3 linked regions of the Caenorhabditis elegans genome follow. The protein of the gene in region 1 interacts with the protein of each later gene in a pairwise test. Each region holds a gene or a part of one and is shown in the gene's direction. Other genes may lie near its edges. The genes, in order: tatn-1, gldr-2 and Y71G12B.27.

Evidence for each region.
Region 2: the proteins of tatn-1 (region 1) and gldr-2 interact in a two-hybrid assay, tested with the Caenorhabditis elegans proteins (one large-scale study listed by BioGRID).
Region 3: the proteins of tatn-1 (region 1) and Y71G12B.27 interact in a two-hybrid assay, tested with the Caenorhabditis elegans proteins (one large-scale study listed by BioGRID).

The regions. Positions count from the first base shown.
Region 1 is NC_003284.9:14,789,058-14,792,813, forward strand, and holds the start of tatn-1 (Tyrosine aminotransferase), read left to right. Parts: upstream 1-1,950; 5' UTR 1,951-2,001; coding exon 2,002-2,109; intron 2,110-2,242; coding exon 2,243-3,328; intron 3,329-3,385; coding exon 3,386-3,586; 3' UTR 3,587-3,756. UniProt on the Caenorhabditis elegans protein: Transaminase involved in tyrosine breakdown. Converts tyrosine to p-hydroxyphenylpyruvate. Has no transaminase activity towards phenylalanine.
Region 2 is NC_003279.8:15,034,232-15,037,987, forward strand, and holds the start of gldr-2 (PAP-associated domain-containing protein), read left to right. Parts: upstream 1-1,777; 5' UTR 1,778-2,033; intron 2,034-2,137; exon of another isoform or gene 2,138-2,143; 5' UTR 2,144-2,145; coding exon 2,146-2,272; intron 2,273-2,321; coding exon 2,322-2,433; intron 2,434-2,488; coding exon 2,489-2,675; intron 2,676-2,719; coding exon 2,720-3,039; intron 3,040-3,507; coding exon 3,508-3,756. Other genes in the region: F33H2.3 (Acidic leucine-rich nuclear phosphoprotein 32-related protein 1), read left to right, coding at 301-897, 953-1,045.
Region 3 is NC_003279.8:1,796,879-1,800,540, reverse strand, and holds Y71G12B.27 (Cyclin-dependent kinases regulatory subunit), read left to right. Parts: upstream 1-1,818; 5' UTR 1,819-1,895; coding exon 1,896-2,039; intron 2,040-2,889; coding exon 2,890-3,102; 3' UTR 3,103-3,106; downstream 3,107-3,662. Other genes in the region: Y71G12B.5 (Apolipophorin), read right to left, coding at 626-824.

The DNA.
Region 1 (3,756 bases):
ACAATAACCTGAAATAATACTGTTGTATGTTTTTATTACATACTTTAAAAAAAATAACTGAATTTTACAGCATTCACATAATAATACTCGTACCAAGTTGGGGCAATTGGAAAAACACATTTTTCAATCTTAGTCTTAAAATAGTTATATTTGTGCTAACTTTATTAATGTTTAGGGGTACTACACATGAACCGTTTTTTCAGTTCAACACAATTTGATTTGAATCAAAATACTCCAAAACTGTGTACACATTTGCACCGCAAAAAATGTACCTAAAAATGTTCTTATCATGACTATTTACAAAAGATCAAAATATTTCCTGCCAGACGGTTTGCGAACATGGGTTCATTTCTGTTTCTTTTTCCGATAACACTTTCTTTTTTCATTGCGTAGAAAATTAGTTCATTTCATGAAACTAATAACAGGTACACCGATGATGTTATATTTGTATTTTAAAGAACAAGAAACCAATCATCAAAACGGACGCAAACAGTTGGGTGCCCACAGTACTGATTATTGTTTTCCCAGTCTAAAATTTTCAGCCAATTCAAGAACTGTCATGATATCGTGGCAAGAGTATGATTTTTGGCCACCGTGATCCGAATCCTGCTGCGGAAGGAGACAAGAAACCAACTACGTAAGACGGAACTTGGTCGTGGATGGATCCTTACAGTAATCCCCAGAAAGCTTGGAACGACTCTCAAAATTTTATTGTGGTGTTTTTGCATTTGTAAAACAGAAACTAAAAATCAAATACGTCCCACTTTAGCTGAGAACACTTCCCTAACTGATAGATCAAGTTACAAATGCGTGGGAATATGGGTGATCTATCAATGAGTGAACTGATAGACAATATTGTAGAAAATTTCAAATTCGATATCTGATCTCAGAGACTTTTGATATTCAGAAAATGTCATAGTTTGATTTCTAAAATACAAAACAGAACATTTAGTACACGCTGACAATAATAGATCATCGCAGTGATCTCAAAATAGAAACCACTGAGAACAGGTACTAATAGTAGACACCCAAGTGCTTACAGTACCAGGAATAACTGATTGTGTAACGCGATACAGATTTTCGGCCAGACAATGCCATCATATCATAATGACGTGGGTGTGTGTCGACTACAAATGATCTTTAAAAATACACTTCTTATCTTGATCTCGTCTATTTCTATTTTCACGATGTCTGACGCCACTTTGTTTGGTTTTTGTACTCGATATGAGATGTTCACTATACTTTTGTTCGCCAACGTCGTCGCACCGAGAGTGAGAGAGACCACCCACACAGTTGCAACACAACCAAGTTTTATCTGGCGATCGCATCTGGTCTGACGACCGACCCCATTCATCTTTCGTCATCTTTATGCGTATGTCATCATGTTTAGTCAACGTGACTATCGCGCCACGTGTATGTCGATGTATTTTTAATACCTTGTCGCCGCTGCTGGTCGGTAGGAGAAGAGAGAGATAGATGACAGGCCAAGCGGAGAGAATAACGAGAAGACGACGATGAATAGAGACAAGGACAAGATGATACGATACGCAGAGCGTGCTTGCTGGGAAATGAGAAGAAAGCGTGGGAACCTGTATGGTGCGACTGGCTAGACGCAGGGGTGACAGTAATCACCACGCGACGAATTGACTCCTCCTTCAATTAGCGATCAGTCGCGTGCGGCATCGAAACATTATCAGTGGGGGGCGGGGTTCCAATTCGTACGTTCACAGATATAAAAGTTGGCTCGTTTCCCACTGTTCCAGCATATTTCCAAACACACTTTCTACAGCTCTAAACATACGGACTACATACATTTCTTAATCAATTATGACTTCTTGCCCTAGTTCCGCTTTCTTTTAATCTTTTGATATCGTTTGACTTTTTTATGACTACTCTTGATTTTTATAGCAGCACAAATCACACAAATCATCATAATTTGCTCTTTTTCAGATAAAAAAAAAGCGTTGCTTCAACTGGTCTAGGAACAGAATACAAATCAAAATGCAAACTCTAATGAGTCACAGCCGTATTACCCCACTTCCGGGAGCCATCACCAAGGAAGAAATCAAGAACCAGCTTTTGGTGCACGAGCGTCGCTTCTTGAGCAAGGTAATTACATGTTTTGGCTCGCAATTGAGTAGGCGTGCTTTTAATTTTACCCTGTAGACTTTCGTGTATAAATATTCCACCCAACTCCCCCAAAACTTCATTCACTATCATGTCTTATTATTTATATTTACAGCCAAACCGCAAGGATCAGTGGAACGTTCTCCCACAATCAGCTCACTCCAAGAACACCGTCAACCCAGTCCGCAAAATTGCTGATGCTTGCGCCGTACCTCCACACCCAGAAAAGAAAGTCATCAAGCTTCACCTTGGAGACCCATCAGTAGGGGGAAAACTTCCACCAAGTGAGATCGCAGTTCAAGCGATGCACGAATCTGTCAGCAGCCACATGTTCGATGGATATGGACCAGCAGTTGGAGCTCTTGCCGCCAGAGAAGCGATTGTTGAGCGATATTCCAGTGCCGACAATGTGTTTACAGCCGATGATGTCGTTCTTGCCTCCGGATGCTCACATGCTCTTCAGATGGCTATTGAAGCCGTTGCAAACGCTGGAGAGAACATTCTCGTCCCACACCCAGGATTCCCACTTTACTCTACACTCTGCCGTCCGCACAACATTGTTGATAAACCATACAAGATTGACATGACTGGAGAGGATGTCAGAATCGACTTGTCTTACATGGCCACCATCATTGACGACAACACCAAAGCGATCATTGTAAACAACCCTGGAAACCCAACTGGTGGAGTCTTCACCAAGGAACATCTCGAAGAGATTCTCGCATTCGCCCACCAATACAAGCTTATCATCATTGCTGACGAAATCTACGGAGATTTGGTATACAACGGAGCTACCTTCTACCCACTTGCCTCCCTCAGCCCAAAGGTCCCAATCATCACTTGCGATGGTATTGCCAAGAGATGGATGGTACCCGGATGGCGCCTTGGATGGTTGATCATTCACAACCATTTCGGTGTGCTCACTGACGTTAAGAATGGAATTGTCGCCCTCTCACAAAAGATTGTCGGGCCATGCTCGCTAGTACAAGGAGCTCTTCCAAAGATCCTTCGTGAAACTCCAGAAGATTACTTCGTCTACACCAGAAACGTTATTGAGACAAATGCCAACATTGTTGATAGCATCTTGGCTGATGTTCCAGGAATGCGAGTTGTCAAGCCAAAAGGAGCCATGTACATGATGGTCAACATCTCCAGAACAGCCTATGGATCTGATGTCAGCTTCTGCCAAAACTTGATCAGAGTAAGTTCGAACAATCAAATTGTGGAAAACTCAAACTAATTCTGTTATTTTTTTCAGGAAGAATCAGTGTTCTGCCTACCAGGACAAGCTTTCTCCGCCCCTGGATACTTCCGAGTTGTGCTCACTTGCGGAAGCGAGGATATGGAAGAAGCCGCACTGAGAATTCGAGAATTCTGCTACCGCAACTTCAATCAACACTCTGATTCCGAAGACAGCTCCGATGAAGGACTTGACTTGAGCGCGATGGAGTCGGATTAGATTAGTTAGATCAACCCACCAACATACACTTCTAGTCAACAAAAAAGAGAAGCTGTGCTTCGTAATTTATGTGCTAAATCTAAACCCAATCCCGCGATTGCCTCGGTAATTGATTATTAATTACCACATTACCAACCCCTTTCTTTCTCCAAAACCCGAAAATCTCATGA
Region 2 (3,756 bases), on another chromosome or scaffold:
CGAATAGAATCAGTCTATTCGCTTGGAATTTTTAACATAGCCTTCCAAAATTTGCTGCACCATCGTTTCATTGATTTTATCCGTGTTTCTTGAGTCATTCGTGCGTGATGTAAGAAACTGGACTCTAAATGGACTAAGCATTTTTATACTGATTGTGACCGTCTAAATAGCTTTTTTTATTCGACTTGTTTCCAATTCGGAAAGAAACTCCATTTTCTGTTCGATTTTTTAATTTTCTCTCTTGTCTCTTACATCTCAACTTTATTTTAATGCCTCTACCTTCAGACTACATCCTCAATCATGCCGTCTATGGCCGAAATCTACGTCAAAGAGCTCAGAGAGAGGGATCCAGCTACTGTCGATACTCTATTCCTCGACAACGCTGAAGATGGACAAATCGGAGGACTCACCGACCAGCTTATCAACTTGGAGATGCTCAGCATGGTGAAGTGCGGACTCACCACACTCGCCGGGTTCCCAACTCTTCCAGCTCTTACCTATTTGGATATCAGTGACAATCAGCTTGGAGACAACGCTTCGTTTGATGTTCTTGTGAAAAATGCTCCAGATCTTAAGAAGATCACACTCGCCAGCAACAAGCTCTCTTTGGATAATCTCCGGTGCTTAAAGGTTCTTCCAAATCTTTTCGAGCTCGACTTGTCGAATAATCCAAGTCTCGGACTCCTCGAGGACTATCGTGAGAAGATGTTCGAGATGATTCCATCGCTGAAGATTCTTGATGGATGCGATGTTGATGGAGAGGAAGTTGAGGAGGAGTTTGCCGGTGAGGGAGGAGAAGACAGCGAGGAGGGAAGCGGCGATGAAGATGGACCCGGACTCAGCTATCTCGAGAAGAGCCAGTTCTCCGACGACGAGACTGACGATTATGCTCCAGAGGTTAGTTTTCGGACTCATATTTCAGAAACGTATGTTCTTAATTTCAATTTTTCAGGGAGGAGACGCTGAACCACGTGGGACAAAACGTGGAGCTTCTGATAACGGAGAAGAGCCAGACAACAAGAAGGCAGCTGGCGACGACGAGTAAACTTCGACGCCTACGGACTCATCATCTCAACCTAATATATTTATTTCAAATATTTTTTCCAAAAAAACTTCCCTCATTTTCTTTATGGCTGCGCTGTACACTAAACCCCAACTTTAATGATCTGAAAAACTGAACCCAAACCACCAGACACTGCAACAACTTTTTGATGAATAAAAAATCTTTAACATTAATCTATCGTTTTATTTTCTTTTGTGGCTTTTGTGTGCATTCTATACCATATTATATTACTGAAACACTGAATTCTGAGAATGCGTATTGCGCAACATATGTATATCTTGCAGCGAAAACTACAGTAATTCTTTAAATAACTACTGTAGCGCTGATCAGATTTTACGTTGTTTATTTTCTAATTTTTTGATGAAAACTATAAAAAAGGCATCGAATTGACAAAAAACACGAAAAATTAGAGGAAAATTAAACATCGCCTGCCACAATCCTAAAAACAATTTGTTTCGAAAGTATCAGCTACAGTAGTCATTTAAAGAATTATTGTAGTTTTCACTACGAGATATTTTACGCGTCATATATGTTGCGCAATACGCTATTAATACGGATTCTCAGAATTTATTGTTCCCGTAATAGTTCTGCCTGTGTGTAGCGCAAACTTCAAAAGTCAATAAACTCGAAATTTGAAAAATTGCCAAAAACGAGACTCCGAAATAACGGGCGCGCGTGTTGTTTAGCGCTTTCAGTCCACATTACTTTTCCCCCACATTTCTCCCAATTTGTTAGGTTTTGCTCATATTTTCCCACATTCGAAGTATTGAGAGTTTATTTTTCCATAAAAGAACCGATTTTCTTCCTAAATCCAGCTGTGCGGTCATTTTTCACGTAGGCATATTTTTTCTCACAATTTTAAGGATTTCTGCGTTCTTTATCAAATGAAAGGTCCCATTTCTTCCAATTTTTAGGTTTTCTGGTTCTCTGCGTTCCATCTTTGAATGAATCTTCGATTGTATTTTTATATGTAGGTTTTCTACTTTCATGTCTAGACATGTCTCCCAATAACGTTGATTTTCTTTTAGTTTTTAGGTTTTCTGCGTTTATTTTCATTAAGAATCAAATTTCCTCTTTCAGAAATGTCGAGAAAACGAAAAATGTCACAGTCGAAAAAGCCAAGCTTACCACGCCGTCCAATTATTCAAAATCTCACATTCATGGGAACTGAATTGGGATGCCCATTGTTAGTTCAGGACATGGATTCCAGTAAGACTAACAAAATTAAAAGAAATAAATAAATATATGTGTATTTCAGTGAACAAACGTGGTGAAGAGCCTCCGGAGAACGCTGACGTGAAGCGATTCATATCGTTCGCCACAATTCCAGCGTGTTGTCTGCATTCAAAAGGAACCGGCCAAGACGCTCAGTCAGTAAATTTACATATTATTATTGCAATTAAATCAATTCTTTTTAAATTTCAGGTCCGCAGACGAGTCGGCAGGTTACGCAATGCTCGACTTTTTCAAACTTTACATCTCTAATGGATTCAGAAGTAAACTTCTCAATTGTGCAAGTGATGAAGAAGTAAAAGAGTTGATTCCTCAAGTTCAACCACTTTTTGAACAATTCAAAGCTGCAATTGCAGCTGATTTTCTGTCGATCAGCAGAGTTTGAACGTCATTTCGAAATTTTGATTTAAAAAAGTTTTTCAGTGCACTCAATTCGAGTTGACTCCAGCAGCGAGGGCACGCGGAAAAGAGCTTAAAAAGCGTGTTCTGACAAATTTAAAAAACGCGGGAGTTGGATACACAACGGTTACTCCTAAGAAAACTTTAAAAAATGATGATGATGACGTGGAAGAAGACGTGCCGAATGAAACAGTGGACCCCAGTGATGCTCCAGGATCATCATCCAGTGATGATATTGTTATCGTTAGAGAAGTTGCGAGCGAAGCATCGCCCAAACTTCGCAAGATGCGAGAAATGGACGGAGCGAAGAAGAAGCTCATCGAAGAAGCTACAATGCGCCTGGGGTACTTTAATTCTGCGATTTTTGTCAAAAATTGTAATGCGAACCCGCGACGCAGATTAAATTGCTGAAAATTCATGTATTCCCGATTTTTTCGCTGGTTGTTCTGAAATTACGGGAAAATGCGTAATTCTAGTAAAAATAGACTCAAAATATTGAGTATAGTTACTAGGATTTTTGACATGTTAGCAAACCGATATATATCTAGCTAAACTTAACATTTAATTTTAAAATCCGTTGGAAATTAATTTTTTTAAAATAAAATAAAATACATGTAATGGGGTTATTCAAGTAATATAGCAAAATGTATGTAAATACATTTGTGACGTCACAAATGTATTTAAATACATGTTTTTATATACTTGAATACAGTCGTGACGTAATTTTTCTAATTTTCCGACACTACTTGAATAACCCCATAAGGTACAAAAATTGCTGCTAATCGTCTTTCAATGAAATGCTATTTTTTTAGTGAAAACCGCCGATCTCCATCTCTCGACTCTGACACCTACTTTGGAGAATGTCAACAGCTGCTTCACGGTCCAACAGAAGTCTACTGTGCCCGTCCCGAATCGAACCAGTTTGTCCAGCAGTACGAAGAAGCGAATTCAACTGAAGCATCTGAGGATGAAGACAAGGAAGCTGTACCGATGAAGCGTGCTCGAGTGGATATAGAAGAAGACGACGACGACGTCATTGTTCTGAATATGACCACCTCTTC
Region 3 (3,662 bases), on another chromosome or scaffold:
GGCGAGTTTTAAAAAAAAGTTTTGGTCCAAAAAATGTAGAATTTATTATCGGACATTTTTTTACATGCACCAAAAAATGTTCGACCAGCCGTTTTTGAGGAAAAAAAACCCGCCCAAACTTCCAGGTATACGGTAGACAAATTACGTACAGGCCCCCCTTCTCGGGTCGTGTTAGGGCTCCCAGCAGAGTGAGGCGCGAAATGCGGGCCTCACGCCGACCTCCGCGCACCGATGTGTGTATGCAACGAAGTGCGAAGGGTAGTTATTTGGAGCGGCCGACAAGTTCGGGGTTCCGCAGCTTGGCGTGAAACGAGTAGCTTGGTGTGTGCAGTGCACAACGTAGTTCGAAACTGTGGTTGGCGGCCGACAAGTTCGGGGTTCCGTGCCGCACTATACATTCGGATACATGCGGCGTGAGTGACGCCGACACCGTGAGGCCGGCGCGGCTACCGCTGAGGTCGGCGCGGGACTCGTTGCGGCGACCTCATGGGAGCCCTAACAGAGATGTTAAATTGTTTCAAAATAGCACCGAAACTACTTAATTATAACTTTGCGAGAGCTTACAGATCATTCAAGAATCCCGTCAATTTTTCAACATCTTAAGGAAATTGCCTAAAACACTCACCCTTGTCATATTTTCCCTTGCATCCTTGAAACGAGAACCCATCGGAAAATAGTGTAGCAATCCGGGAAGCATCTCTAGTAGCAATTTCATCTGACACTTTGCTCAAAAACTCCTTGACAGTGGTCTCGGATCCATCGGCGAGTCCATGAATAGTTCTGAAGAGAAGAAAAACGAGAAGAAAATAATTTGTCAGCCACATATTGTGAGGCGACTATCTGCGGAAAAGACGGGATGGTGGGCTCCTTTTAAGCGACAAGATGGGCGGTATGATCGTTATGAATAATCGAATTATTGGAGGGACGGGAATTGGGAATTGTTGCGGGGGACGACACGTCAGCACAGGGAATCGAAAATCAAATTTGGAAAGATGGGAAAAAAATCAAGAAATCTGCAAAATTCGTAGAAGAAAGATGAAAGTGTGGGGAGCTTTTAGATTCGGTAATGTGTATTTTCTATAGAATCCCCCAAAGTTTCGAGTTTTGACATTTTTCATAAAAATTTGATAATGCCAATCGATTTCAATTGTTAAAAAAAAGCAAAAGTTGTATTTTTCAAAAATTCAAAAGTACTGAAAAATCATATGAAGTGCTTCTTTTTTCTTTTATAATACTGTTCAGCATGATCAGAAATACCAGAAAATACTAAAAAAAAGTATGCTAGTCAATCCGGAACATATTTTAAAAAATTGCACAATTTGACCAAAAGCTGTATTTTTCAAAAATTCAAAAGTACGCCAAAATCATATGAAGTGCTTCTTTTTTCTTTTATATTACTGTTCAGCATGATCAGAAATACCAGAAAGTATCAAAAAGAGTATGCTAGCTTGACCGGAAGATTATTTTGAAAAATTGCAAAATTTAGTTAAAATCTATTTTTTCAAAAATTCAAAAGTACTGAAAAACCATATGAAGCGATTCTTTTTTCTTTCATAAAACTGAAAAATAAATGAAGTAAATAAAACGATGCAAGCGCGCTCCAATGCGAATTTGAAAAAATTATGCGGGGGCACAAATGAAATTCGGCGATTTCAAGCTCAAATATAAAATCAGGGATTTTTTTGTTGAATTTTTTTTACATCGATATTCGGAATACTCCACGTGATTTGTAAAATAAATACAACATTTCAGAATTTAAAAAAAAAGAATTGTCCACGTAACCTTGCCCCCCCCCCTCTTCCTAATTGTTCCAACAACATTTCCAAAACTCCTCAACAATCATTCATTCCCTACTTGTCGTACAATTAACATCGAAGAATAAGAGTTTTTGAAAAATGGAAGATATCTACTATTCGCCACGTTACGAAGATGATGAATACGAATATCGCCACGTCATTCTTCCGCAAGCCGTCTCGAGAAAAGTGCCAAAGGGAAGACTTCTTAGTGAGGCTGAATGGAGACGTGCTGGAGTTCAACAGGTATATTTTCAATTAAGTGATATGTTAAGATTTTAGGAAAAAAATCGATAATTAAAAAAAATAGATTTTTCCAAAAATCGATAATTCACAAAATTGATATTTTGAAAAAGCCAATATTTTAAAATATTTTTTATTAAATTAAGCAAGGCTCCCAGCCGAGTGAGGTGCGAAATGTGGGCCTTACGCCGGCCCGATAATTTAATTGCCGGTTTGCTGATTTGCCGGAAATTCTCATGTTCGGCAAATTGCCGGTTTGCCGATTTTCCAGAAATTTTCAATTCCGGCTATGTGCCGGTTTGCCGATTTGCCAGACATTTTCAATTCCGGCTATGTGCCGGTTTGCCGATTTGCCAGACATTTTCAATTCCGGCTATGTGCCGGTTTGCCGATTTGCCAGACATTTTCAATTCCGGCTATGTGCCGATTTGCCGATTTGCCAGGAACTTTCAATTCCGGCAATTTGCCGGTTAGCCGACTTGCCAGAAATTTTCAATTCCGGCAATTTGCCAGAAATTTTCAATTCCGGCAGTTTGCCGATTTGCCGATTTCCAGAAATTTTAAACTTCGGCAATTTGCCGGTTTTTTGATTTGCCAGAAATTTTCAATTCCGGCTATGTGTCGGTTTGCCGATTTGCCAGAAATTTTCAATTCCGGCAATTGGCCGGCTTACCGATTTGCCCGAAATTTTCAATTCCGGCAATTTGCCTTTAATGAAAATTTGTTTTAAATAAACATTAATATGTTGATAGAATCGATATTTCAAGAAAACCGATAGTCATAAAATCGACGAAAAAAAATCAATATTAAATTTCTGAATGTGGCCGAATTATTGATTTTTCATACTTTTCAGTCACTTGGATGGGAGCACTACATGGTTCATAACCCGGAGAAGCACATTCTCTTGTTCCGTCGGAAGCGCCATTTCACAAAAGCCGACGAGGAGCGTGCCAAAATGGAATTGTTGAGAGATATGGAAGTGTTCAATAGAGCGCAACAGCAAACGACAGCAACCGATGAGAAATTGAACGCGGTTTTCTATGAATTTGTGAATAAAGCAGTGTAGATATTTTGTAAGACTTTGGGCTTCCATGGGTGAGCGGCGGTGCGTCTCGCGCCGGCCGGCCATCGCCGCTGTTATTTGGAAGCGTCCGACACGTTCGGGGTTCCGCGCCGCACTATACATGACTGAGGCGTCTCGCTGGTCGGCGAAGGCGCCTCGCCGGCGCAGGAATGGAAGCCCTAGTAATACCGTATGTTCAATTAAAAAGCGCCGAAAATCGATATATTACAAAAGTTGCTTTTTAAAAAATCGATATTTTGGGAAATCGATATTTCGACAAAAATCAATATTAAATGAAAATCGAAGTCATAAAAATCAATATTTTGCAACAAAACCCGTATAGAATAAAAATCTCGGCCGCCATAAAAACGAAGCATAAAGATTTTTATTTCAAATTTTATGTTAACAAAAATTACAAATTTGTTTTGAACGTAGAGTACACCAGGGGCCGGCAATTCCCGTTCGGCAATTTTTTTTGTCCACAAATTCGGAAAGTCGGCAAATTGCCAGTTTGCCGATTTGCCGGAAATTGTCATTTTCGGCAATTTGCCGGGTTGTCGATT